Linked DNA regions of Alligator mississippiensis. Each later gene encodes a partner of the first gene's protein in a complex. Links are inferred from orthologs where the notes say so. Each region holds a gene or a part of one and is shown on either strand. Other genes may lie near its edges. The genes, in order: AP3B1 and AP3M1.

The links.
Region 2: the proteins of AP3B1 (region 1) and AP3M1 are in contact, whole or in part, in a cryo-EM structure (PDB 9C5A), measured with the Homo sapiens proteins. The link is inferred for Alligator mississippiensis from reciprocal best matches to the Homo sapiens genes AP3B1 and AP3M1. Residues at the interface, in NP_003655.3 of Homo sapiens: Leu60, Lys64, Val67, Gly68, Ile70, Ala71, Lys72, Gly73, Ile92, Glu93, Lys96, Leu97, Val100, Arg104, Glu107, Asn128, Gln129, Leu130, Arg137, Arg143, Ser163, Pro164, Tyr165, Lys168, Asn169, His172, Gln175, Lys176, Leu202, Ser206; in NP_001307192.1 of Homo sapiens: Met1, Phe15, Leu16, Glu17, Trp20, Lys21, Ser22, Val23, Gln26, Val42, Glu43, Asn44, Val45, Pro46, Pro47, Val48, Ser50, Tyr55, Ser58, Ile59, Tyr60, Gln71, Thr72, Glu73, Val74, Pro75, Pro76, Leu77, Phe78, Ile80.

Annotation. Positions count from the first base shown.
Region 1 is NC_081826.1:256,610,942-256,619,699, forward strand, and holds the start of AP3B1 (AP-3 complex subunit beta-1), read right to left. Parts: upstream 3,963-8,758; 5' UTR 3,914-3,962; coding exon 3,735-3,913; intron 1-3,734. UniProt on the Homo sapiens protein: Subunit of non-clathrin- and clathrin-associated adaptor protein complex 3 (AP-3) that plays a role in protein sorting in the late-Golgi/trans-Golgi network (TGN) and/or endosomes.
Region 2 is NC_081829.1:26,754,689-26,763,591, forward strand, and holds the start of AP3M1 (AP-3 complex subunit mu-1), read right to left. Parts: upstream 3,426-8,903; 5' UTR 3,311-3,425; intron 2,171-3,310; 5' UTR 2,015-2,170; intron 1-2,014. Other genes in the region: ADK (adenosine kinase), read left to right, coding at 3,749-3,804. UniProt on the Homo sapiens protein: Part of the AP-3 complex, an adaptor-related complex which is not clathrin-associated. The complex is associated with the Golgi region as well as more peripheral structures.

The DNA.
Region 1 (8,758 bases):
ACTAAATCAGCCCAGCCAAGGTTTTGTCTACCTGGGTCTTAAAACCCTCCAAGGATGGCAATTCCACAAACTCTTCATAACCTGGTTCCAGTGCTTTACTATCCTACTACCAAGAAAGTTCTTCCTAATAGCTAACCTAAATTTCCCTTGCTGCAACTTGAGACTGTTGTTCCTTATTCTGTCATCTGCCACCAATGAGAACAGTCTAGCTTCATCCTTTTCACTCTTCAGGTAGTTGAAAGCTGCTATTAGGTTCATCTGTCATGGGGCTGTCTCCTCTATTTAGTAAAAGACCCACACTTGATCTTCCTCAACAACAAAAGGTCCAGCTGTTGTGATAACGTTAGTGCTAGATGTCATGGTTGATACCCATTAGGACCTAGACCCATCATCAGCTCACTTTAAAAACCAGCAATTCAATGAAATGCCAGCTTTCAACAAGGGCCATTGTTCATTAAGCCATTATCTGTTATCTCCACCCTCCACTTACTTTGAAATTCTCGAGTATTACCTTGTATGCAAAGCCAAAGTACCCCAATAGCTGAAGAATTTTTCAGTCATGCATGTAGCAACCTACAGCTGCTGTCTACATCATTTCCCTTTGGTTTCCACAACTGTGGAAAACCACAGTTTTTCACCTTTGGTCTCCATCAGAAGCTTGACCCTGCTCAACTGAAGAGTCATAGCTCATAATACAGCTAAGGTACTTTATCACAATGAAAGACCCCTTCACAGCCCTTATTTTTAAGCATTTAAAGCAATCCAAAAATGTAAGTCCCAGGGGACTCGTAGAAATCAATAGGATCTACAATAAAAGTTGTAGAACTGGGCTGCAGACAACAAAATAAAATAATTCAAGGACAAAAAAAATAAGGTGTAACCTGAGGAGAGAGGATGTTTACAGACAGAATAAGGGATAGGTGGCCAGAAAGTAACACTGCTTACCCTACCGTTAGACAGTAACACTGCCAAATGAGTCCTTAAGGGCCATGATGGATCAAACTCAACACACGTTAGCAATGTAATGCCATTGCAAAAAACAAAACAACCCCCCCAGAAAGAACAGGAAACAAACAGATGCATTCTTAGGCTGTATTAACCTAAGTATTGCATTTAAGACATGGAAGGTAATGATATCACTCAACTCAGCACGGGTTAGGACTCAGCAATTTTAGTGCTTCCAGTTCTAAGCACTTCTTTTTAAGAATGATGCAGGAAAACAGACACTGAGAGAAGCAAGATTTAGATAAAACTGCAGGGGGAAATAAAAGTCATACATGTGAAGACCATAAGATAAAAGGAACAAGGAATTTCCTCATTTGGGTGATGAAAAGAGATGGATAGGCATGTTTCACAAAAGAGATGGATAGGCATGTTTGGGATGGTTTAAGAACAGCATATCCTACATTTGTGCAGGGGGTTGAAATCCTTGAGTTCCCTCCCTATCCTACAACTCAGTTCTAAACTTACTAACTACAAGAGTTTTTATCTACTCACAGGGACAGGGTGCTGCCAGAGCAGGATTTTTTTTAGAATAGATTTTCATATTAAGTAAAGGACAAGTGCAAGGTTCTGTTCTTAGCCTGGAAGAATCACACGTACAAACAAACTGGGAAATGACTGGCTATACTGCTGTCCTGCCCAAAGACCCAGAGGATATAGTAGACCATAAGCAGTAGCCAGCCAACTGTGTGCTCTTTTTGCCAATATAAGCCTATAATAGCATACTGAGCTGTATTAACAGAGGTGTCACTTGCAAGTCAAAGGAAACAATTCTGTACTGGCAGAGCCTCACCTCAAGTACTGCATCCAGTTTTGGCACCACACTTCAAGACAGACATGGGCAAATCTGAGTCCATAATAATTTCAATTGCTCTTTAGGGGTCTAGGAAACATCACAGAAAAGGACTTAAAATTTCTCAAAGCCAAAAAGTGCTACAATTATAAACCAGCCAAAGACAAAAAAATTAACTGTAAGAACAGTTACTCCCCCCCTCCCAAAAAAAACAAAAGCAAGCAGAGAGCCTACCAGGTATGGAAAACAGAACTAATCAAGCAAGAAGAGACGTACTTTAGGCTTTTGAGATCAAGAAGCACTGGGATAAAAGTAAGTTACCAAAATACAAGCCAAGAAATTTTGCAATGGTAATTAAAACAAATGGCAAAAGGTTCTTCAGCCATATACATAAAAAAAGAAAACAAGGCAAGATTAAGTAGAGCTACTATGCAGTGAAAACAGGAAAGAGAGGAGAAGGACAATCTCGGTATGGCCCAAAAGCCATACCTAAAACCACACCAAAACACATAGGTTATAAAAATGGGTCAAAGCACATATGCATACTTGCTTGGCTACAATTTGCCATAAAGACACTGATATGGACGAAAAAGGTGGCATGGCTATTGACATTGTGAATAATAATCCAAGTTACCACATCTGAAGAAGCAGCAAAGATTAAAAAGCTTTAATCTATTCACATTGAGGAGGACAAAAAAAATTGAAAGACTGGCACACTAAACTGCAGGTCCTGTAGCAAATAAACAGAAGTGTCAAAGAAGTCAAGGAGAGCTTTTTTACTCTGAAAACAGCACGTGAGATAACTATGCAAAAGGAAGAAAGGAAAAGGTATCCAAGTAGCTACAGACATACCTGTCTTAGTTCAAGCAGTATGCAAAGATTCAAAACAAGTTTTAAAGGAAATAATTAAAGATATGGGAAATAAAACATGAAACTTCCCTTTGTCAATATGATAGCTGATTTTGTTTAGACAAAGAAGTTGCGGTTCTAATGCATCTTGACTTCAGTAAAGCATTTGAAATAGTACAACAGGAGAATTATTAGTGAATGGAGATGGGGAGTTAGAACAACTCTAAGGTGGGTAAGGATTGGCTGAAGGGGAAACAACCGGTTACACTGAAAGGGTAAGCATCAATGCTGAAGAGAAGTTGCTAGAGTAGCTCCTCTCAAGACAGGTCTTGGAAGAGACCTCACTTACAAGTTTAGTTAGCTTGGCACACAAAATAGGAGTATGCTAATAGTATTTGCTGATGACACCGAAGTTGTAAGCATCAGAGGATTGGAACATCATACATCAACTGAATCACCTGGAGAACTGAAGCAATTGAAACTGGATGAAACTACATAGAACACAAGTGCAAGGCCATGCACTTCATGATTAATAACAAGTGTTTCTACTATGAATTGGGAGCTTATCAGCTGGAAACAACAAGAGAACCAAGACCTGGGTGAAAAGGATGACTATAAGCCAAAAACATTTAGTAGCTGTTGAAAGGGCACATATGACCCTAGAAAACAGCAGTCAAGATACTGGCAATATAGAAAGAATGGGAAGAAAGAGAAAGAATGGGACAAAGATGCTTAATAGGAAAAAGTGTCATGTGTCATAATACTGTTTATCCACAGTAAATATTTTAATATTTAAATAACTAGGAGATTAGAAGATGTAAACCACAACAGTTTACAAAGTCATAAACAATAAAATACATCAGCTTTACTACTGTAAACTTTTTTTTTTCACACCATTCTTCAGAAGTCTTAAAAAACTACAGCATGATTAAATTATTTGAAAACACCATTTCTGCATTAATTGTTGAAATTACAAGAAAGCTATTTCAAGTTTACATTGCTCACATGTCAACCAATAAAAACTGCAGTCTATTTACATGGGAAGCAAGAAGAAAAGATGGGCAAGCATCTCAGGATCAAGGATACTTACACAGTGAGATTTAGTTCCATGAGTACACATGGATCATCAGAACTATTGGTAAGCCCTTTCTCTTCTATAGTAGGCTCCAGCTTCAGTGCAACCTGGAGGCTTCCTGCTTTTTCAAGAACAGATTTAATACATCCAGAAGCCTCATTAATTTTACTGAGCAGTGAAGAATCTTGCTCCATTCTTTCAAATGTAAAGAAAGTAGTCAGCGAATCAGCTAACCCAAGTTACTTAATGCCAACTGAGACTGAACAGGAATTAAAAAGAAATTATTGTGAGGTAACAGGATATTCACTCCCTCCACTGTTAACTTGAAGGGAAAAAATGCTATACAGATTGCAAAGGTCATTTTCCTTGAAAAATACATCTTATCAGCTAAATACAATCACCAGTAGAACTTGCCAAATACTTGTTTCAGCCGTGTAGCCTTTACATTGTTTACTAAGCAGCACAGCAATATTTTCATAATCTCAGAAACAGGAAGATACAACAAAACATTTCATTTCCTTAATCAAAATCTTAAAACAGAAAGACAAGCTTCAAAATGCAGGGGGCGGGGGTGTTATGTTCATTAATGAAAAGAAAGGGTCTTTAGTTCATGGATTTCTACAAACAGTGTTCTTATCATATCAGTCCACCTGTCAGCAAAGGAAATTACAAATGAGTTGACAACTGAACACAATCTTTTCAGATTTGAAAGTAATTATAGTTTAGTATGTAGAAAACCAGAAAGACAAGTCTTCACGTAAGAAAACTATACTAAACTATTATCTAGAAACACAGTATGAATGTTTTACTCACTTTTTTTTTTTTACTTAAACAACATAAATATACCCTAGTGTAGGGGCAGGCAAAGTCTGGCCCGGGGTGGACTCCATTTCCCAGCAGCCCTGTCCCAGTTGCGCACCCTGCCAGCACTGCTGGGGCCAAATCTCCATGGAGACCCTGGCCCCATGCTGTCAGGACACCACCACTGCCAGGGTTTCCTTCATGGGAACTGGCTGCAGGGGCTGCTGGGAAATGGAGCCTGGCTGCCAGCTGGATCCACCATGTTGCATACCCCTGCTCTAGTGCAGGCTTATCCAACATGCTGCCTGCGGGCCGCCATGCAACCCAAGCCATTTTCTTTAGCCCGAGGTCCCTCACTTGGGACAGGGGAGGCGTCCTTGCGCCTGCTCCACGGAGGCGGCGGCGGTGGGGCAGAGGCGAGGCAGGCAGGGCCGGCCTGCAGGCCCCAGCTGGCAGCGAGGGGAGGGGAGCTGCTCACCCCCGCAGGGCTGGGCTCATCAGTGAGCCGGGTCCCATTGCCGCTGCCCCAGCCACGCGTGACTGGATGAGCTGGGGAGGGGACAGCACATGCAACTTCTTCTCTGGCTCCGCCCCTTGCCCCCGGTGCACGGCCAGGGGAGCTGCAGCATGGCCCGCGTCCTGCCTGCATATGTGGTGGATAGAGGCACAGGGTAAGTCCCCACGCGGAGCTGGGGGCGCCTCAGGGCCGGGCTGGGGCTGTGGGGTGCGCGGTTGCCAGAGCCGGGCTGGGCAGGAGGAGCCCAGCCCAGAGGCTGCACTTGTTCCTCAGACCAGGACACCCAGGATGAAGCGATACAAGGGAGGACACACACACATGTGCACATACACACATGCATGCATGCTGAAGTGTGGGGCAGTGAGCAGAGCCAGAACAGCTGTCAGGAGCACAGTGCCTCTCTCACCACAGCCAGGGCTGCAGACTGGGGCGCTGGCCAGACTGGGGACTCTGCATGGGTTCTGTCTGACTCACAGCTCTGGCCCTGCCCCTGTCCCCATCCTGACACCTGCAGCTGCATCCTGGCCATGAGTCCCTGACTGGGCAGCGGCAGCCAGCCCCAGCCTCATACTCTCCTCTCTGCTTAGGGCAGGATGCAGTCAGGCCAGACCAGGCTCTCCACATGGGGCTGCAATGTGGCTGACTTTGCCTTAGCCCAGCAGCACACAGCCAGGATGCAGTAGCAGGTGCCAGAATGGGGCCAGAGCTATGAGTCAGAGCAGGGCAGACAGAGAACATACAGCATCCCCAGCCTGGCCAGCACCCCAGTCCCCACCCCAGCCCACAGCCCTCCTTGCTCCAGTGACAAAAGTACCATGCTTCCCAGCACATCCCAATAGCTGCTTTGGCTGTCAGCTGCAACACATATGTGCTTGGAAGTGCGCGCGCGCACACACACACACCCCCCCCAGCTCCCAGATTCCCACCAATCTGGTACTTTTGCTTAAATTTTCTCCAGTGGCTAAGACACTATGACAGCCTATAAAATTTGGGACACTCTCAGCCAATCGAGGATATATGGTCACCCTACATATAAATAGTCTAGATTATTCTAAAAAATGCCCATATTTTATTGCTTTGATTAGTTTCCACTTTGGTTGATCTCTTTTCCAAATCTGATCTGTTGACTTGCAATATGCTTCTTTCATTCATTGAAAAAGTGACTAGAAGCAAAAGTATTTATTTTAGTCAAGTGTTTGGTATTATTTCATTCTTGCTTTTATACTGTTTTTATTTTGGATTTTAAACCACATTTCTAGACCCTCATTGTCACTTCCTGCAACTTCACTGGTGTCAAAGGTCACGTGACATCACTTCCTGATGTGATACCACATCCTGTGAGGTCTTTGAATATGGCTTGCCAGCCCACTGGGTGATAAAAAGTTTGTGATCCGGCCCCACATTCAAAAAGGTTGGACACCCCTGCTCTAGTGTCTGTGGCAACTTCTAATCGTGTGTGTAACCAGATAAATAAATAGTGTTTAAAACCTCTAATTACACACTCTGGTTTACCCAAGTGTCAGGCTTTTCCCTGCACCCCCACATATTTTCACTTTTCTACTATGTTTAAAAAAAAAAATTAAAAAAAAATCAAAGTACAGAGCTCTGCCTTATGGAAAACTATACTCTGCATGTTGATCCACAACATCCCATATTCCTTGCCACAGACTTTGCTAGCTTCTGAGGTTTATGGTAATCCAACTGTAAATCCATTTCAGTAAACCTAAATGCAATTCCTGGCAAGTCTGACTCTACACTTTCCCCTGGGCTTTCATCTATTTTTTGTGATCACTAGAAGCACCACAGCAAGGAGACCAGACTATTCTCAATCATAGTTAAGTTATTCTTCCATTTCAGTAACAAAAATAGGCTCAAAAGGCAATTTAACCTGCTAGTTGTTTGGATAAAAATTAAGCAAATAGCAATTATCTTAATATATTCATGGCTCTTATATATTGCTTTTAATCAGCAGAGCTCAAAGCATGTGTCCTAACAGGGGTTGATATTACCCTCCTTTGCCTCAGTTCTTCATCTACAAAAGACTAAAGGTTTTTGCCTAAAGTCACCCAGCAAGCCAGTGGCAGATTCAGGAATGGAACTCTGGTCTCCCAAATCCCAGCCCAGTGCTCCATCCTCTAGAACACACTGCCTCGTTATCTTAAGATTACTTTATTTTGACAAAAAATAAGTTTTCTGCAGTGGGTAGAGCATCACGGGGTGGGGGCAGGGGGGCGTGCTGCAGCCAGTTCGGCACTCTAGCCAGGAGCGGGCAGGCTGCAAACCCCCGGACCCCACTTCCATATGCCACTCCACCTGCCCTACCAGTCTGAGTTCAGCAGCTGTGCCTGCTGTGTGCTGGGCTCTGCCTCTGCTCCTGCCTTGTTGTGGCTGCTCCAACAGCGCGCCGTGCAGCACCAGAGTGCCACTGGGGGCAGGCCAGGCAGGAGGCGCATGGCATCACAAGCCATCAAAGCAGCAAGGCATGGAGGCAGGAGCAAAGGCAGAGCCTAGCCCACAGCTGCACTGCCCTGCCCTATGCACGAGCCGCCCAGGATGACCCAGGGCATCTGTTCCATTCAGCCTGAAATTACAGCTGAGGCTGGCCCCACACTGCTCCCCCCCCCCCGACAGTCTGGGGCCACAGCCAGGGCAGGTTTGGGCCCAAGGGGCCGCAGTTTCCTGGGACCATGACCCCAGGCGCAGGGGAAGGCACGGCCACATAGGTACAGCTGGCCCTGAGCCTGGGCCTGGCTCTGCTCCACTACCTCCTGATCCCTGCCCCCGCCCCCCACACCTTCCCCGACAGACTTTCGTGTGGGGGGGAGGGCATACGCATGCTCAGCACCACCCCCCCGCAAATCTTTTTCTCCCTCCAAATGAGTACACCCCTACACGTGCATGTGTGCATGCCCACGCCCCCACACATGTTCATGGCCAGGAGAGTGTATTTGCGTATGTGTGTGCATGTGCAGAGAGCGAGTTGAATGTGCGCCCGTCTCTGTATGTATGTGTCTGTGTTTATGGCAGGAAGAGTATGTTTGTGTCTGTATGTCCATGGGGGGGGTGGGGGTGGAAAGAGAGAGACCACAGCAGGGTAGGTAGCAGCAAGAAGAAGGGAACATGTGCCCTCCCTACCCCGGTAGGGTCCACCCAGGCTCCCCACCAGCACCAGAAGGGGAAGGGGCCCTGCCCTCTGCCCCCCTCCCCCACCATTGTCCAGGGCCCCAGTACACACTAATCCACCTCGGGGAGGGCAGGGGGCATGGATATGGACCTGGAGCCTGTCATTCTTGATGGGCAATTTGGTAGCTGTTCCATAAAATTAATTAGTAACAATGAATGGATGCCAATACAATATTAGGCAAACTTAGCAGTTTCAAAGTTATAATTAAGCAGTCATAATAATGCCCAAGTCAGAAAAAAAACTAGCATGTGGCATCATTAGAGTGAAGTTCAAGCCACTGAAGGAAGGAAGAAAGTTGGTAGAGGTAAATATTGTGGGCAGGAGTATGCTAACAATGCAACAAGAATGAAGAAACATTTAACAACATGTAGAAACTGCCTTGAAAGAGTACAAACCATATACAGAAAGCTAATACAAAGAAGGGGAGGAACAACATCATCTGAGAAAAATCTACTTCAGGAATCCTCTGCAAGTAAACAAATTAATATGTTAAACAACACACAGTTTAGACTAGCATCTATATTGTTGTAAAACATT
Region 2 (8,903 bases), on another chromosome or scaffold:
ATTAATACCTCTGAATTACAACTGATAGACAAATTATTTCCCCTATAAACAATTTATTTCCTTAGTGCACTGGACAGCTCTTTGATTAATCAGTTTGGATTAATCAGTTGTACTGTATTTGTATTACTGTTGTTTGCTTAAACTCTTTCATGTAACAATATGGAAAAACATTACAATCTCCAACTCCTTTCAGAGCTGATAAGAGGACACAGGAACAGGCATACTATCAAAGGTAAATAACATCTATTACATTATTACAGACAGTGTTTAATTAGATGCCCAATGACTGTAAACCCTTAAACAGATATATTACTATTAAAGGTATGATGCCACTTTACACTGTTACTAATCATTACCTAGAATGTACTGAAAAGTTACAACTATGGTTATAAAAGAAGGCAGAGAGCAGTATACACAGGCAATGTGCAAGATGCTATATTGCATGCCAGCAACTTGCAACAATGCAGGTGCCTGCTGAGATAAACAAAGCTGCACGTGAAAGCACAACAGAGAGAGATGGTTTTGTAGCTAAGGCACTAGGTAGAAATTCAGGAGATGTGGGTTCCACTCCTGGCTCTGCTTCAAACCTGCCAGGTGAGTCAAGATCCAGTATGGTCCTGCAGGAGTCTAAACAAGATTTTGGTATAATTTAACTGGCCAAGTTTCAAACAGTAATTAAGTTTGGCCCTGCTCTACAAGCTCCAAAACCTCAGAAGATGTCCAAGTTCAAACCATGCTTCCATTTTGGACTGCAAAATTACAAGGTTCTGCACTTACCTTCTGAGCATAGCCAAATGTGAGGCATTTAGCATTATGGGGTATGCAAGGATGAACTCATCCCCAAAGATGCATTATATGTGCTCAGAGCATGCTTAACTCATACTTAGCTCAAAAACATTGGGCTACAACAGCCAACATTTTTTTTAAACGCAACATATCACAGTACTTGCACCGCAATCAGGAACCCTGAATTTTAGGTCCCCTGGGGGATTCAAATCCCCTTCTTAGGAGAATATTCTGCCACACTAAAGGATAAGCTGGGTAAAACATTCTCTTCCTCCTCCTCTCCACTGGGCATCCATCACAGGAGATATGAGGCCAGAAAGAGAACAAGAGAGAGACTGGCACTGTACACTAGTGGTTACACCGCTTCACTAATGGAAGGAAAACCTGGGTTGATCCCAGCACCCAGGACTCTTCCTGCAGTTCCCATGCAAATATCATTGTTAAATAATAATAACAACAAGCCAATAACCTTGGGAATAGGGACTGGAACCTAGAATCCCTTTGCCCAGAGGAGCACTGTACCCCATAAACCAGGGGCTAGGAACTTTTTAAAGCCACAGGCCAGAACAACTCATCTCAAGTCCAGCATGCACTGGGTGGCTTTGGTGGCACATCAGCAGCAAGGGGGATTTGCCTGTGCCTATGACTGGGTCAGGCAGCTGGGAGCCGACACTAACACCACTCTTCCTAACCCCTGACTCCCTGGTTAGGGCACAAGCACAGCTTCCAGCTGGGAACTGCATTCATGCTGCTGCTGTCACTCCTCCCTAGCCCCTTGTTTCCTGGCTGCACTGAGGGTATAGCTTCCAGCCAGTAGGGAACTGCGCTGCTGCTGGGTAGCTCAAAGTTGGGTTCTCCTTGATGTTGCTTCTCCCTGTTCCTAACAGACAAGCCTTCAGAGAAACAACCCGAGTGTTAACAAGGGAGATATGGTTCCTTGGTTTGTTAACATGCCAAAACACAAAGCCAAGAATTCTAAAGACATAGCAGGCAACAGATTTAGTTTACTTTATGTTCCCACATCACAGGCTACATGAAACTTAGACTTAAAAGGCAAGGGGTATGCATTTAGTGGTCTCTAGAAAAGCTGGCACCTTAAGTGTTTGCAAATTAGGAAAAAAAAGGCCTTTCCTTGCCATCTAGATACCATGGGCCATCTTGCTCCTGTGAAATCCATATGGGGATGATAAAAAAAAAAATACTTAATAAAAGATAAGGAAGTTCTTACCTGAATTACTATGAAACAACTTGCTATTACCAAAATTGTAGTTTAAGTTTTTGCATAGAAGTCTGGTTTTCCCATTTCACACGGTTTAGACCAGGGGTGGGCAAAACATGGACTAGAATGGCCTGGCAGGTCGCATCCATCTGGCCTGCGAGGCCCCTAAAAAATTTAGAAAATTAATATTTATCTGCCGTGGCTGCCTGTCATGCGGCCCTTGATGGCTTGCTAAAACTCAGTAAGCAGTCCTCCGCCCGAAATAATTGCCCACCCCTGGTTTAGACAACTACAGCAGATCCACCAATTGAAGAATACTCTTCAAATGAACTTTCAGACATCCAGGCCTAAAGTCTCAAAATTTTTGTAAGCATCTTACTCCTATCAATTGCAAAAGGCTCTAGACACCTAAAAACCTTTAAGTCTCAGTTCACACTGAAATGCACTACGATCCCCAACAATTCAGGCATTCTCTTATGTCTGAATTCAACATCAGAGCCTCAATTTCCATACTTAAAATGTTCTACTTACACATAATCAGAAAGTTAAGGCTATTTTTTTTTTATATGTAGAGTCTCTTGCTTTAATATTTTTAAAGTTAAACATTGCACATTTGAACTTAGTCATAATGCTGAGGCTTTACCATTAAACATCTCAAATAAATCTGATGTGGATAGGGGTTCACACAACTGTAAAACTGCAAGAGACAGGAAGCATTAACACAGCAGTCTCTTGTTTTCTCCTACAGCACAAGAGGCTTTCCGTATTTAACTTTAAGCCAACGGCAGTAAAAGACTCCATTAAGAAACAAACCCGGACCAACCCAGTTAATAAATAAGTAGTGTTTTCACACCATGACCAAGAAAACCAGCTAGATACACCCCTTAACTCTCAACCACATCATTACTAAGATGCAATATTTTTTTCAATGTCAAATTCCTTCATGAAACCAAGTCTAGGCTGCCAGCTGGAAACATTTTTAAGTCAAAAGGGACAAAGGGAAGGTTTCCCAGCCAAAACGAAAGCGCATAATGCGGCAGACGTCTATAAACAGAAAACATAAAATGCCCTTGTTAATTTTCCCTGCTACTTCCCAGATGGTTATCCCGAGCACACGCTCCTCTGTCCGGAGACGGCCAAAACCCTGCAGTAAAGCACAGCCACCCTGAGCGTTTTATAGCCTCCAAGAACATTAACTAATGAAGTAATAAATTGTGACGAGCCAGGCCGGGACTTCCAGGCTCAGAGCAACACGGGCAGGACAAAGGGAGGTCATTTCCAGAAGCATCAGCTTTCAACACCTACCAGAAAAAAAAACACCCTTCCTTTTCCAGGCCCCGGCTCTCCCCGCGCGACCCCGTTCACCTGCGCCGGAGCCCGCACTAGCCCTGCCCGGCCCGACCCGGCTCCGCTCCCGCTCCCCCCGCAGCGCTGGCAAATATGGCTCCGAGGCCCCCACCCCGCACCTCCTCCCCGGCCGGCGCAGGTGACTATGTGACTGCCTGCAGCAAACGCGTGCCCTGCCGCCGGCTTCCGCGGACTGCGTGAGGGCGCGGGGTGCTCGGCCTTAGGCGGCCCCTGGAGCCGTGCTGCCCGCGGGGCGGTGGGAGGCCTCTCGCACGTGTGCGGCAGCGTCCCGCCCCCGGCCCGGCCCGGATCAGGCGCTTTGCGTAGCCGACTCTGCCCCGCTGCTGCCTGAGGGGAGATCGCGCCGAGCCGGGGCTGCCGCACGCGGGTGCGGAGATGGCAGCAGGCGAGCCGCGAGCCAAGAAGCCGAAGCGGGAGCACGAGCGGCTGAGGTAACGCGGGGGCGGGCGCACGTGCCCTGGGCAAACGCGAGCGGCTCGCTGCCGGCGGGCGGGCGGGCGGTCGCTGCTTGCAGGGGCTCCGAGCCCACGCGGTTGCGGCGGCAGCGGATCTCGGGCGCTGCCTCTGCCACGCGTAGCCTGGCTGCACGTGGGTGTGGATGATTCGCGTTCCTCAGTGATGCCTGCTGAGGCTCAAGTGCCCACAGACCTAAGCCCGTGCATCTGCTCAGGTCCATCAAAGTGGGGGGCAGAGAAAAGACGGGGCCAAAAGAGCAGATCAAAGAGCACCCAGGCCCCCCAAAAAACAGCTTTTCCCTCAAGGGCTGCAGAGGAGAAGACAAGCACTAGCCTGCACAACGGATCTGTGCGCAGCTGCTGCTGCCAGCTAGGAGAGCGTCACTTCTGGGGTGCCCAGCATGGCTGGCACAAGCCCAGAGCTGGGCATCTCCGTTCACGCTACAACTGGGTTTCAAACGATGCTGCCTTCCCCAAGCCTTCGGGGAGCCCTTCGACTCACTGTTTGCACAGTGCTTCTAGGGAACCTGGATTGAGAGGCCCTAGATGTAACTATGAACTTCTTATCTGAGAGGCAATGACTTCTTAGGGAGGTATTTTTTTATTGGACCAACTATCCAGTAGAGTCAGACAAGCTTTCCCATGCTAGACATGACCTAGGTGAAGCCATTAGCCAGACTCCTTCTGTCAGATAGGAAAAATGCAAAACCAGACAAGGTTCTAGCCTGGGAAACCTCTGATCCTACCACACAGTTTGTTCAATAAAAAATATCACCCTAAGAAATCCTTCTCTCTCACATAATTGCTGAACCATCATAGCTACATCATCACTCTTACACTACCTTATTATGAATATGTTTTAGGGCAAATTGCATTGTGGGAATCTGTTTCTTTAATGTAATAGATAGATATAGATAATAATAGATAGATATTGATAGACAGGGTGCAAATTAAGGGGGAGTTTGGGGCAGGGCTGAGCCCACCCATAAGAGACAAGAGCTCCCCTGTAAGATTCGAAGATCATAACTTGATCAGATTGCTCCTTCACTTAGATGGACTTGTTAATCAATGAACTGGTTTAATTTCTGTTATTTTTTCAGATTCTCCCCTCCGCCCTCCCCCACCCCCTCCCCAGAGTTGAAATTTAATTTGAACCCCGTAGACTAGGGGTGGGCAAAATGCGGCCTGCAGGCTGGATACAGCCTGCCAGGCCATTCTATCTGGCCCATGGGGCCCCTAAAAAATTTAGAAAATTAGTATTTATCTGCCCCTGGCTGCCTGTCATGCAGCCCTCAATGGCTTGCCAAAATTCAGTAAGCGGCCCTCTGCCTGAAATAGTTGCCTGCCCCTGCTGTAGACAGATATATATATGTATAGATGTATTTTCCTCTATTCAGCATTGGTGAGGTCACATCTGGAGTATTGTGTCCAGTTTTGAGACCCCACTACAGAAAAGATGTGAATAAATTGGAAATAATTTGTGGATAAAGTCCAGTGGAGGGTAACAAAAATAGTTAGGGGGCTGGGACACATGACTTACAAGGAGAGGCTGAGGGAATTGGGCTTATTTAATCAAGAGAAGAGGAGACTGAGAGGGGATAAAATAGCAGCCTTCAACTACCTGAATGGTGGTTCCAAAGAGGGTGGAGATGGACTGTTCTCAGTGCTGGCAGATGACAGAACAAGGTGCAGTGGTTTCAACTTGCAGCAAGGGAAGTTTAGGAGGGTAGTAAAGCACTGGAACAGGCTACCCAGAGAGGTTGTGGAATCTCCATTCTTAGAGGTTTTTAAGACCTAGCCAGACAAAACCTTGGCTGGGATGAGGTAGTTGTTGATGGACCTGCTGTGAGCAGGGGTTTGGACTAGATGACCTCCTGAGGACCTCCCTTCCAACCCCAATTTCCTATGATTCTGTGATTCTTATATATATGCATGTAGCTGATATCCATACCCCTTTTGTGTTATTATTTTATTATAGTAGCCTCCAGAAACCCAAGTCAAGACTGAAATCCATTATTGTACAGATTACTGTGCAGATAAGTAACTAGGAAAATGGTCTTTATTCACTCTAGGAGTGAAATTATGGCCTGGCTGAAGCCACTAGCAAACTTCCCTGTGTTAGATAGGATGAAAAATGGACAGAGCAAGTAAACACGTTGGAGATGGGTGAATAATGCAGGAATGAAGCTGATAACATTATCAGAATAGAAGTCTCATCTGGACATTTCCTTAACCAATGCCAGATGGGAGTGATTTTGTAGGCATGGCAGAAAAAGAGAAGTATTCAAGAAAGATTTAAAACAGATAATGTGACAAGTTTGCAAATGATGATAGCTGTTTTTTTTTTTTTTGGTTGTAAGAAGGGTGATTGAACCCAAAAGCTTGCTGAGAACTTTTGTCCAACTGCTTAATTGGTCTAATAAAAGATATCACATCTACTCAAAGAACCTTGCCTGCAAATTATGATAGAGAGTTATCCTCATGCATAAGAAACAGGATGGTAGAAAGCATGTTTGAGACAGGAGCAGGGGATGGAGGCTGCTAACAGTTGTAGGGCAAGGTGGGGCTGATGATTTCCAAGATTTACTTAAGATATTTAAGTTTCTGACTGCGATTCTGCCCTGCATATCTGGCTTGTAGTGTTAAGAGCAAATCTACCTTTGAATTCTTATTCTAATTTGTTTGTATTAGATATTTTGATCATTAAATAATATTTGTTTTCTCTGGGTGTTTAAAAATATGAAGTAAAAACAAATGAAATAACTAGTAGACACTTCTTATCTTTTCTCATTTAGCCAGGATGCTAGAGTAAGTTAATCTAATTAATTAATTAGATAATTAATTAACGCATGCAAAGTTTGTTGTTGCATCTGCTGCAGCGTCCTTAGCCTGACGAAGGGTTTTTGAACCCGAAAGCTTGCTTAATAACTATTCTCCAACCATTTGGGTTGGTCTAATAAAAGATATCAAATTCACCCAAGGAAGTTTGTTTTAGAGCACTTTACATATTTTAGAGTGTTGCTAACATTAATAATTAATCATTCATAATTCATTGCTATAAAAGGAACACTACTGCATTGAGGAGTCTCCTGATTAGCACTACACTAAAACTGGAACTTGGGTTTTTTTTGTTATTTAACTTAAATAAGAGGTAGCCCAAAGCATATGCAAAACAAGAGCATGAATTGCCTAGATGTATTTTCAGGACTTTTGTATTAGATTTGGCAATAAATATTGGGTAGATACAACTGTCATCAATTAAATCAATTAAAATGACTTGAAATTGAAATGGCCGGATCCAGTGGTAATTATTAATTGATTGAAAAATTTAGTGTCAGGCACAGGAGCTCAAACAGTATCATGAGAATAGTGGCTTTACATAGTCTTGGCTCTGCTGAATTAGCTATTCCTATGGAAGCAATTTGTGACATTAGTGTAAAAACAGAAGGCAGCATATATCAGTAACTTGTTTCTTGGCAGCTGAGTGACTTTTTCAAGTCTAATAATAGTTGCAAGGACAGTTGCAGATAATAGAAGAGGAAAAATATAGCTGTACAGCAAAAACCCCCAAAAAACCAACCCAACAAAAAACAAATTATAAGTAAAAATATAAACTTGTGTTAGAAAAGCTACAGTTAATGTCAACACTCTTTAAATATGCTGTTAAAACAAGGAAAGGCTGGAAAATCAACCTCAAGCTTACATAGCCCAAACCAAACTGCATTTCATTCAGCTTAAGCAGTATATACATATTTAGAGAGAAATAAACATGGAAGCAGGTACATTTATCTGCTTGTAACCCCATGCTTCATTAATAAAGTTCTTCTTTTTTTTTCTTTCTTTTTTTTTTTTTTAAAGAAGCTATTCCTATATGCCTGTAACAACTGATAAACTCTCCAAAGATGATTTTGTAAGATTTTACCCACACAATGGATACAATGTACCAGGTAACCTTGTTACAGCATAATTGAGCTCTGCTGGTGGTGGAGTGGCAGGAAATTTAATCCTCCTCCAACCTTGTTATAATATTGGCTTAAATTTTAGGTGTAAATTCCAACCTTTTTCTGTTTTATAGTAATCTCTGTTACATTATTATGCTCCTCTGGTGGCTCAACAGCTCCTGAATTGATTGGATGATCATGATGTCTGTTCATGATTTGTTTTCTGAGCAAATTGATTTGTCCACATGGAGAATGCGAAAGCATTACATTTGGCAGGAGATGCTTATCATTAAAAGTACGAAGTGCAATATTGTTTTCTCCAGTTAAGCAACTGTTCCTCTTTAGATTCAGTTATCAAGCACACACTGACGCATTCTTTCCTCAATTTTTTTTGTAGAAAGAATCAATGTTCATCCCCATGGTTGAAATTAGACCTTGATTGATTTGGTACAGATAAGAAAATCCACAGTTGTATTGGTAACTGTGTAATAATATTAATGTATTTAGAGGGTGGGTGGTGGGGGATTCTTAGTATTACATGCATTTTAAAATGTAATTTATTTTTTCAACTTATTTCAAATGAATGAAGATTCCAAGTATATTAAATAAACTCCAGTAAACCACATCTGCAGGTTAGCAATTCACTTTTGTTTTGTCTTCTTTTTTCTGGCTTTTTTAATTTCACCTTGCTCTTCTTCTTGCCCTTGACTTCTACACCTTATTCTTGTGCACCACTTCCCTTCTGGGTTCTCCAAGCCTGTAAATATTTCAACACATGCATAACTTTGCTTAGGGGAATATTCTCACTGGTCTCCAGGGAACTGAACTCATGGTTCAGTGCTAGAGTCTGACTAACAGTGTATGGATTAGTTTGCTGTATTGAGTCCCAAGAGAAGAATAAAACTGAGATGCATATTGTATATAGCTGGAGATTTAGAGACTCATATTTTTTAAACTATTTGAGGGAGAGAATAACTCATTTTTCTGAGGCTTATTTCTTCTATAAGGGTTTAGCATCAAAAACCTCCCCTGGGTTGTTGTTGACACAGTTACTTGGCTGGCCATCTGAAAAATGCTATCATTCTACTTGTTGAAGGGTCTGTTTCACCTTATATAGTTGTTTAATTTTTGAAA